Neodiprion lecontei: one gene and its partner. The protein of the gene in region 1 purifies or fractionates together with the protein of each later gene. This does not show direct contact. Links are inferred from orthologs where the notes say so. Each region holds a gene or a part of one and is shown in the gene's direction. Other genes may lie near its edges.

Region 1 (4,843 bases):
GAGCGTTGACTTCAGTCAACGGTATGAGCACTTCACCATTTTTATTAATTTAATGACTTTTTTCCTAGTATTAGGCACTAAGCTTTACCATTTACCTCAATTTGTTAACTTATTCACGTGTGAAAATGGTTAGCTTTAAATTCGAATTGCCCGCTTCGAAACGGACCCGTAAAAATTGCAAATGGCTCTGATCAATTGGGTCCACTCGGCAGCGTAGCCAGTCTACTTCGTGCAGTCCACTATCCAATTAATTTAGAAATCAATGGCTTGTGAGCATATATTGCCTATAATACGGCGTTTTGATGACAGTTCTATAATTTATATTGGTTGATTTGTGTAGCGGTTTTCGAAAGTTCGCAGTTACTTATCTAACTAGATTCATATATAGACCATAATAGCAATATACTTTAGCATTTTTATACTTTATCCTGTGAACTAAACTAACGCTCTTGTTGAATTGCAGCATGGTCTTATCTTCAAGGTTATGCAGTGTAATCAAAGTTGCCTATAATACGGCTCTATTCTCCGTATTTCACAAATGGTGTTATTAGATAATATTACACCTAGAGTTGGGTATTCTGAGTGTTAGTCAATTGTGGTATTAATATTATTAGAAGAATAAAACTCAGGTGAACAAAGTTTACTCACGACCGATCGCTTCTCAAGATAATTAATCTTACAATTACATAAAATACCTTACTTCATTTTCATCTCATGATTCTCGTGCCAAGCTTAAAGGTATACTATTTTGTTAACACATTATAATAGAGAGATGGTGAAACATTCTGATGGGATGCTACACTCATAAAATAAGTACTTCCTGGTTACACTGCAATCACGGTCGTATATACAAGTGCGAAAACTCCCTTGGCTCCCTTGGTAGGTGTGCGTCTCAATAGAAGCTCAAGTTTCAGATATTGGCCACTGAAGTTAGAGCGCTGCAATCGAGTAGTGTCAAGGACACTGCTACTAATAGGGGCGCGTTTCGAAATTAGCTGGCAGCGCTAAAAACTCCCTGGGACAGAGGCAAAGCTGCCCACGAACTCGGTAGCGTAAAATAAGTGAAAGATTGTTGACAGCACTGGAGCAAATATTGGAATGCACCTAATAGTACTCCCTTATATACCCCTCCGTACTTGTGGTAGGTTTCCGACACTCATGCATTCCGAGATTAGCTCGAGGTGCTATCATCGATCTTTTATCTCTTTTGCAGTGCCTAGTTCGTGGGTAACTTGGTCTCTGTCTTAGGGAGTTATTACCCCTGACAGCTAGTTTCGGAACGCACCCTAGTAAGAGACCCGCCCCCGCCCCTCCGCCAGAGTTTCGTGACCTGTATATACTACCGTGACTGTAATTTCGTAAAACTGTGAAATACGAATAGCCCATGGGAGCTTTCTAGCAAGGAGACACAGTGTGACACTGTGTTACACGGTCGAACAATGTGCCTTGGTGCTTGTTGGAACGCTTTGAGGTTCTTAATTCAGTCACTAGAGTCCGCTAATGCATTAGACGAAAAATCTAGAAACACTGAGCGCTCCAGGAAAAAAAAACATTTGTGAACGCATGTAGATTATCATTGCATTTAATAAATAAATACAAACAATACCATGCGTTGAAAATAAAATCTCCAACTAAAAAATTGGCAGCAATGAATCCGACACAGTGTCCAACAGGTTTTTCTCTGCTCCGCAGCTGTGTCCGACTGTGTCGTTCTGTGTCATTGTTGGAAAGCACTATGTTCGACACAATGTCGCTCTGTGTCGCTGCTGGAAAGCTCCCCATGTAGGACCCGAAAAATCTCTAGATCGCACGGTTCACTTGAGAAGTGGCCTTCATGGCGTTGAGAACTGAGTAAAAGATTTTAACAAAATTTCTTCGTGCTTGAAACCAAACTTCGAACTGTTGTTAACCTTCACGCGAACCATAACTACGGTCTCGCGACAAACTCAGTTCAACTGTTTATAAAAAAATACACAAGAAATAAAAAGATCTAACGAAATAAATATGACAACATCGCCCTTCAAAAATTAAAATAAATCTCCAATTATCAACATCGATAATATTCGAAAAAACAAATGCTCTCACTTGATAAAATAATTGGCTTGATAGTGAATATGGTTAGCTCGCTATGAAAAACTCGTAAACATTTTTGCCAAGTTAATCAGGCAGATAGAACTTGCACAATATATGTTAGATTGTCCTCGTGTTCTGGAATCATAAGAAATTCATCGAAATTTCACAAATCGGTGAACCAGGCCATCTTCAGTTTTGACCTCAGTGGTCCAACAGCTGGCATTGGCAACATGTCTGTTGCAGAAATAATTCAGCATTATCAACGAAGTATAGAAAAATGTTCAGGAAACGAAGAAAGGGTGGGTAGCCGCTCCAAAAATATTACATTTATATCATGCTAACACAAGCCACTTCCTCACCGACAAATTTTCCGCCCCTTGTAATCTGATCGACATAACCTAAAAATCATATGAAATCGCTAAATGATGTAATTTGTCAATGTCACTGCTGCAGCAGTTCCAGCAGTTTGGCAATTAACTTTTGGAGCTGCTAGCGAATTTTGTCTTCTTTTACTCAAATTGATTTGACGTATCGCGGTATTCATCATGTCATGTAATCCTTATTGTTACCATCTGGCATATATGTTGCTGCTTCTCAGATTTGCTCCAATTTATCTGTTGCAATTGTAATTCACCACTAATGTGATTAGATTGAGAGTCGAGACTTCTATTAATTTTATTGAAATTAGGATTAAAATCAGCATATAGTTGCAATAAGATTAATTTTTGTTATAAATGAAACAGGTTTTGAGATAAAACTTGACATTGCATTTGCAGGATTGAATTAACGGCATAATTTTATGCACCTTGATTATTGGTCACAAGAATATACTATTGGCATATTTATAACAAAATGGATTTTGGAAAATAAGATATTTGTGGGTCAACGATATTTCATAGACTAACTATTCTCAACAAAGTCGAGATGTAATGAAAGCAAAACAACTCTTAATTAGGATGAATTGACTTCCCGTTCTTAAAATTAGTTTCATTCTATGTGTCAAATTGTATTAACATGATTGAATAGGAACAAATATAGGTAATGAATCTGACTCAAATCATCCTACAATTTGAAAGTGATAAAACAGATATCCTTATAAGTAGTTGGTCATGAATGAATAAAATTTGACATCAGAATTAAATCAATTACGTACGATCTAATTCGGTCCATTTTATTTGATTTTCAGCTTTATCGTCTCAATCATTTATTATCTTATGGGTAGGTGAAACTGAAAATGATTCATTTTTTCAAATTTTACATGAAAATAAAGCTCGGATCATCAATATTTTCCTATAAAATGTTATGATTCCAAATTTTAATAGTTTCTTTCAAAATAATATTCTTAAATACTCCAACGAACCTTGAACTTTGTTTAATTGTGAGTGTAGCGATAATTCATTTTAAAATTATTATCTACATTCTGTAAAGAAAAGAATCGAGAGGAGATAATAAGTTTCTATTTCTCTACCAAATATTATCATTTTTTCTAAATACAAGTGGTGCTAACTTATAGCAAAGATCAAATACTCAGTACTTGTTAAGAAAAATTCCATTTTAAAAAAATATGGGTAAAAACCTTCTTAATATTTTGCAAAAACACGTGTTGGAATATTTTTTTCACTTCGCTGGAATCTCGGTTATTTCAGAAATATCTGTGAAAGAATCTGAATCACAGAAACGTCTACTTTCTGAATTTCTCACAGCAAAGAATTTATCGCTTGAAGACCTTAAAAAAATTTGAATGAGTGATTCCCGTAATCCGTATTTTCTAATTGATCTTTTGAAAAATCAAATCGTTTGGCATGACTATAAACCAATCGAGTTTCAGCAAAATGTAATGTCATTTTCTTCCTCAGTTTTTGGTATAATTAGTGTACCAAAAGAGACATATTTTCAGTATATATATTCAGAGGCATTGACATGTAGACCTGGTCTAAAGAACTAAAAAATTTAAGAAAATTATAAGAAAAATGTGTGTCCTAATCATAAATAAATATAATTAGTTTTTCTCAGGAAAATCTGCTTTATGCTTCATAGTCTCTACACACAAAGTAATAATAACTTTGTATACTTATAATTTATTAGCATGAGAAGTATTTTACTGTATTGCCACGCAGCTATAACCACTTACTACATTTACAATAATTTGAAAAACTGTAACTACAAGAGATGCTTCTGGAGTCTTTGTAAGTTTCATGGCATGATTTTCTTAACAGATGCTTTACTGCATTGGGAAGCTGTACAGATTGCCAGTTACCGTGCAGCATTTACAAGAGACAGGAGTTGGTAGGACAGTGAATGGCCTGCGAAAATATGTTGGGGATGTTGGTGATGCTGCCAAAGCTTTGGTAGCCAAATGGAAGACAATGGTCGCTGATGAGGAATCCAGCGATGGAGAAGGAGCAACAGACGACGAGGCGAACATATCCGAGCCTCCAGATGACTATGGCAACAACTCACATTCTAGAAAAAACGATAAGGATAGTAGCGACGACAGAGATGATAATAGGAAAGAATCAAGGTATATGGGCAATATAATAGTAAGACCATTTAGGTGTTGAATTTAATTACCGTGCAATGATACGTAATACTTAAATAATGTTCATAGAATGTTTCAATAAAATCATTATTATTTTTTAACTGCATCAAGTTTCAAGTAATTTCATACGCTCACTGCTACCTTCATCTTAAATTATCTGCAGTATGCATATTTTTCAAACAGGTAGGTAACTGTTTAAATATTTTTGTACTTGTTGATGGAATTTCGAGG
Region 2 (6,313 bases), on another chromosome or scaffold:
AAACCGTCGTTACACGATTTTGGAATTGCTTGAGATTCGGTAAACTGTAATAAAACAAAACATACTCGTATTTTGAAATCTTAGTTCCTTAAAAGGCATTGCAAAAATAAGAAAACAGTGATTTTTCCACGATGTTTCGTTACGACAACACGGTACGAACTTCAATCTCGCGTTCCTTTTAGATTCCTTTTCCATGCGATCGGCATTTCTACCTCCTCGGATACAAGAGTGTAGTCTTTAAAAAAAAAAAACCCTAACAAAACCACGTAACTAAATTACTGTAAACGAACCGAGTTACGGTAGGTGAAATAAATTTCGTCGAGTGGGTAGAAATATTTGGAATCGAAGACAACGCGGAGTCTTGTCCTCGAGTGAAAGTGATTTGAGTGAGGGAAAACACATGGCTTGTATCAATCGGCGCCTCCGCATATTATAAACTTGTCTAGGAAGTAGGAACTAGTACTTATGCCTTACGAAAATTCATAGTAGACCGTACGACGTTTACCACTGTTATTATTTATACCGTGCAAATTTCCTACCCAGGCATTAATTAAAGGCTCGCGGACGAAGTTCTCTTACATCACGGTTGAACAAATAATTATGCATCTCAATCTTTAATCTCGATCGGTATCCGCCTAAGTAGGTACTCACGTCCAGGTAAACGGGGCCGGTATTTACCGCGATTATTCATAATATTCATCACCACTTCGCGGTGATGAAACAACCCTGAGAGCTGTTGCTCCAATCGCCATTTGATCTCGGTAATTAAGACGCTCTCGAAACAAACTCCCTCAAACGTTGCAATTAATTATCGGCAGATATAAACCTGGGGTGAAATTCATGATATTCACCACTTTGGTTTGTTCGAAAATTTCGAAGAACAACGAAAGAATACGAAGAATCCCCTCTTCACGAATGAGCAAACTCGTAAATGGACTCACCGGTGATGCTGTGTTGATCGACAAGCAGATCCGTCAAGACGTGAGGGCATTCGGCTTCGAGGGCGAAGCAGAATTCCCGAAAGGCATCGAAACCCTTGGCGCTGATAAGGCCTATCAGCAAATCGATGTCCAAGTGCTCACCCCCGCGACGAGCGATCGCCTCGCGATCCGATTCGGCAATCACACCCTGCTTGACGAGCACACCGAGTAAATTTGTGACATTCAGCTCCCTGAGCAGCGCGGATTTGTGTCTCGACAATAATATCCTCACTTCCGCGGAGCCCGCCATGCTCACAGCGCGACGGCGTCAAGCGTCTATCGAGCAACAGGTGTCACGGGCAGTTTAGTTCCCTCTCGCTCTCTCTCTCTTTCAACTCCGGCACGACTCTCGTTCAAAAACTTCTCGCCAAACTCGATTGCGATCCGCCAGAGCGCCGGCTGCTAACCGACACACGCGCACTACAGCTGGTAGAAGGCGAACTAACGAACTTGTACTGAACTACGTACAGAGAATGATAGAACCCGTTGTTGTGTGCGTGCGGAGCACACAAGACGCCATTTTTGAATTGCGCCATCTCTTCGCCGAGTCGCGAACTGCGATTCGAACTGCACCAAAAATCCGCATGTAACGTTGATTAATACGATGCATGACCTGCATTTCATACTCATCTCTGTATGTAGCGTAATTTTTCGAATGGTTTCTCTGGGCGGGTTTGAGGATAATTCAACGAGCCAACACTTACTGATTCGTCTTATGGGATGCCGGTGGAATATAGAGTCGGTATAGCAGAATACTGCAATTTTTCTCCCGTCGTTCGGAGTCCCTTACCGTGCCGCCACAGTCAACTTATCACAACGTATGTGATTTGGTAAAACATGTCACCCGCACGAGATGTACTACGAGGCTCCAGCGGTGATTCCGGTGAGTTTGAGAGTAAATGATAGTTAGTAGCGGAATAAGTGAAGTGTTTACGCATGGTTGATGCTTCCCGATAAATACTTATATCAGATTTCCCTTTTTCTTGGTTACTTTTTCCAGACGATCTATCGTTTCTGAGGTTATATTCACCAATAACATCCGGTCAGATTAGCGTTTTAAACGTACAACTATGCAGGCTTTCACATTTTCAATACGTATGTTACAAAGCGTGAATTTAATTCGAACTCACGATTTAAAAGTTGAAGTTCTATATCAATCAAAAAGTCTTTTTCACTTCGAACACCGGTTAAACACCATGAGTGTTTTTCTTGAAGGTTCCGACTCGGAGAGCGCCTCAGGATCGAGCGCATCTAGCCGTAGCGGGAGTCCAATGTCCCACGGTCCTGTGCCGACTCCCGGCCGGCGAAGTAGCGATCATTCCGAGAATGAGAACGAAGGACCAGCCTCACCAGATTCGATAAGGTCTCCTAGTAGTCCAAAGTCGGACAGGAGTCGGTCTAACGCATCGAATAGATCTCGAAGCCGATCCCCTAGTGCCAATAAATCAATTGCAAGCCCAACTTCACACAGATCAGCTAGCGGATCTAGACATTCCAGTCCAGGATCACCAAGGTCACGTCGCTCTGGAAGTGGATCGCCGCAAACGGTGCGATCTCCAAGCCCTGAATCACAGAGGTCAGGGAGATCCAGGTCAAATTCACTGCAAGGAAGCGTGAGATCAGAAAGTCCAAAGTCTCCTGCCAGCCGTAGGTCTAGGTCAAGATCGCAAAGTCAAAAATCCAAAACTCCAAATTCCCCTCAGTCTAACAGAGCTAGCAGATCGAGATCTGCGAGTCCTGCTTCCCCGAGAAGCAATAAGTCTGGTTCTCCTAAGAGTCGGAGGTCCGGTAGTCAGACTTCACACACAAGCAGAAGATCGGGGTCACCTGGATCGCCAAAAAGCCGCAGGTCTGCCAGTGGGTCGCCTAAAACAAACAGATCTGTTAGTGGATCACCTAAAACCAACAGATCTGGTAGCGGCTCACCTAAAACTGTTAGATCTGCTAGCGGATCTCCAAAAACAAATAGATCTGCTAGCGGATCACCTAAAACAAATAGATCTGTAAGTGGATCACCTAAAACAAATAGATCTGCAAGTGGATCACCTAAGACCAATAGGTCGCGCAGTGCTTCACCAGCCAGCCGCAGGTCTGCGAGTGCCAGTTCTCGTAGAAGCAATAAATCCAGATCTCGTAGTCCAGAAAGTCCAAAAACTGATGGAAGTCCACGTTCGAGAAAATCTAAAAGCAAATCACAGAGTCCTAAGGCTACTGGAAGCGATGCTGAGTCAGAAAAATCACTAAAAATTGCAGGTAGGCGTATCCATTCATCTTTGCAACATCGCACGAATATGTTCTCTGCTTTCAACTCTTTTCTACCACTTTTTTTAACTTGCAGCTGATGCAGATGACGAAGTAGCGAAACGCAAACGACAGACTGACAGTGGTTCTGGATCTGAAAAAGTAATCAAGAAACTAAGAGGACTTATCGATTCAGATTCTGAAGAGGAGCAACCTGTTGGAGAAAAAACAGACGATGTTGAGCCCACAGCTGACGCTCTCTTTGGAGATGCAAGTGATATTAGTACTGACGATGAGAAGGATAAGGAAGAAGAAGGAGACGGAGAAGCAGACACAACAGCAAGAAAAAGCAAAAGCAAAAGTAGGAGCAGGAGTAGAAGTAGGAGCCGGAGTAAAAGTCGAAGTAAAAGTCGGAGTAGGAGTAGAAGTAGAGGGAGATCGGACAGTGGCGGAGAAGGACCTAGTCACAGGGTTTTAATTGAAGATGTAAGTAACTAAATTATTTTCTATTTTAAATTAAATTGATTGAAAGTAGAGAACTTTACTGTTTTCCAGATATTATTTTATGGGAAATTGTAATTTGTCTAAAAAAATATGTATTTAAATTTGAAGGACGAGGAGAAAGAAAAAGAAGACGAACCAGAGCCGCCACCAGAGACGCGAATCGACGTAGAAATACCAAAAATCACAACAGATTTAGGACGCGAAATACATTTTGTAAAATTACCGAACTTTTTGTCCGTTGAAACGCGACCATTCGACCATGAGACTTATGAGGATGAAATTGACGAGGAGGAAACATTGGATGAGGAGGGAAGAGCAAGGCTCAAATTGAAAGTCGAGAATACCATAAGATGGCGAGAGGTTTTCAACGAGGAAGGAAAAGCAGTGAAAGAAAGTAACGCCAGATTTATAAAATGGTCCGATGGAAGTATGTCATTGCATCTGGGCTCAGAAATATTCGACGTCTACAGACAACCGCTTCAAGGCGATCACAATCATCTCTATATTCGACAAGGTACCGGTCTTCAAGGACAAGCGGTATTCAGAACAAAACTCGGATTCCGACCTCACTCAACAGAGTCATTTACACACAGGAAAATGACCATGTCTTTGGCAGATCGTTCGCAAAAGACTACAGGCATCAAAGTATTGTCGCAAGTTGGAATGAATCCCGATCAAAACAGATACGAAATGATAAAGGTTTGTGAATCGATGTTATCTAAATCATTTCTTTGCATTTCAATACCTTTCACAGTTGAAAGAAATTAACGAACATGATTTATAGAGGGTACTCACTCCTAATTTAATTTTCTTCTACTTCCCTTTACCGTTCAGAAAGAAGAAGAAAAATTGCGAATGGCAATGCGAGCACAGAGTAAAAATAAAAAACCAAGCGGAAATAGCAGAAGCGCGGGTCGGGCATCCGGCAGTTACGGAGCGGAAGCTTATCACGATGATGGATCTGATGACGAGGGTGCAATTTCACTGGCAGCCATCAAAAACAAGTACAAAAAGGGCGCCGCTGCACTTGCAGCCAAATGTGAGTTGAAGTTTCAATGTTATGTATTCAGATATTTGGCAAAAATCTCTCTCCACGTGTGTAACGAATTTGAATTAATTTTCAACCGTTCTAGCTGCCTCGAATATTTATTCGTCTGACGAAGAAGGGTCAGACTTCGAGGGTACGCGATCCAAAAAGTATCACAAGGGTAAAGTTCTCAAGGATTCGGATGAAGATTCAAATTCGGGATCTGGGAGTGGATCGGTAAGCGGCGGAGGTGGTGATGATGGCGCCGACGCCGCGAGTGACTAGGAGTAATTCGTAGTTTGACAATATAAGATAAGACAAAAAATGTTGTAAATATGAATCGAGAAAAATGTTGACGAGGAACCGTTCAATGGAACGCAAAATCCAATATCCCGTAGCTGTTTTGTATGGGTCCCCATGAGACAGATCATATTTTATTTCTTATTACGAGTTACAGTCATGATTATATTGACATTATTATTGAAATTAAGATTATTTTCATTATCATTATGAACTAGAAATACATTACTCATTACTTGTAATCACAAAACGCAATTAAATATAGTATCATTAAAAATCATTATACAGTCTATTAATATTGCCTTAATCTTGTTCATTGCAGTTATTTTTTTCTATTTTTTTTTTTTTTACATAGTTACTTCCGCTGGCGAAAAATAGGTAGGTTTAGCCGGTTTAGCATCTCTTTTGCTGTCAAAATTCACGATGATCACGCTGATGTTTATACAGATTTTCAATCTGCGATTTGAATAGGTTGAAAATCTGTGCAGTTTATTACACGCAACATTTTTTTGCCTACAATTTCTTTTATCTTTTATTTACTTTCATCATTCCTACGAATTTAATAGCTAATAATGTATCATGTATTTCGACATTGTGACATAGATACTGTATTATTTGTCATAAAAACCAGAGAAGCACGAATTATGTCATAGTTCTTTACAATTTTAGTCGAGCGACAAATTTGAATTGCGGAATTAGGTATGTTCAAGCTACCGTACTACAAATTTGCAAATGTGCAATATACGCGCGATGCAAAAATATGTATGTGGCGAAAGAAGGGAATTCCCGTTTCATTTAATATCCTAACATAGTCTAAAACTGGTAATGGTTGATTTCAAACTGTCGGGGGACGTCACTCTAATGACTTGAAGAGAACTTAAACTGTAGATTATTTCTACGATCCTTTTGAAATAAAAATAAAATAAATAATCATAATCTTTAAAAACGAAATCTAAATTTATAAATTCTGTTTGAAACCAACAAGGAGACAAGTGTTTTTGCATTATACTTAGTTATTGATAAATATTCGATAAAACTTTCGGAATATATAAGAGAGAAGTTAGCCTCGGGCGATAAATTCAATAAGACTAAAATATGGAAGTTTTATGATCAATGCATAGCACCATAACGAAGCCTGGCAATAATTGGAATAGATTATTCAACTTTTGGCAGAAAGTTAAATAATCCGGCAGTATAAGCTGTTACGCGTTGTTAACGTCAACTTATCCGGAAGACTAACCTGGCTATTAACTAATTAAAG

What was found. Proteins that work in one complex are often made in the same cells at the same time.
Region 2: the proteins of transcription elongation factor B polypeptide 3 (region 1) and another transcription unit protein purify together in Homo sapiens (affinity purification with mass spectrometry; 3 studies listed by BioGRID and IntAct, with this or other methods). This does not show direct contact. The link is inferred for Neodiprion lecontei from reciprocal best matches to the Homo sapiens genes ELOA and LEO1.

What each region holds. Positions count from the first base shown.
Region 1 is NC_060263.1:9,216,588-9,221,430, reverse strand, and holds the start of transcription elongation factor B polypeptide 3, read left to right. Parts: upstream 1-1,812; 5' UTR 1,813-2,303; coding exon 2,304-2,372; intron 2,373-4,289; coding exon 4,290-4,594; intron 4,595-4,843. UniProt on the Homo sapiens protein: SIII, also known as elongin, is a general transcription elongation factor that increases the RNA polymerase II transcription elongation past template-encoded arresting sites.
Region 2 is NC_060265.1:27,024,346-27,030,658, forward strand, and holds another transcription unit protein, read left to right. Parts: upstream 1-1,610; 5' UTR 1,611-1,817; coding exon 1,818-1,863; intron 1,864-1,980; exon of another isoform or gene 1,981-2,050; coding exon of another isoform or gene 2,051-2,075; intron 2,076-2,195; coding exon 2,196-3,233; intron 3,234-3,318; coding exon 3,319-3,707; intron 3,708-3,833; coding exon 3,834-4,424; intron 4,425-4,559; coding exon 4,560-4,764; intron 4,765-4,858; coding exon 4,859-5,037; 3' UTR 5,038-5,796; downstream 5,797-6,313. Other genes in the region: tight junction protein ZO-1, read right to left, coding at 942-1,230. UniProt on the Homo sapiens protein: Component of the PAF1 complex (PAF1C) which has multiple functions during transcription by RNA polymerase II and is implicated in regulation of development and maintenance of embryonic stem cell pluripotency.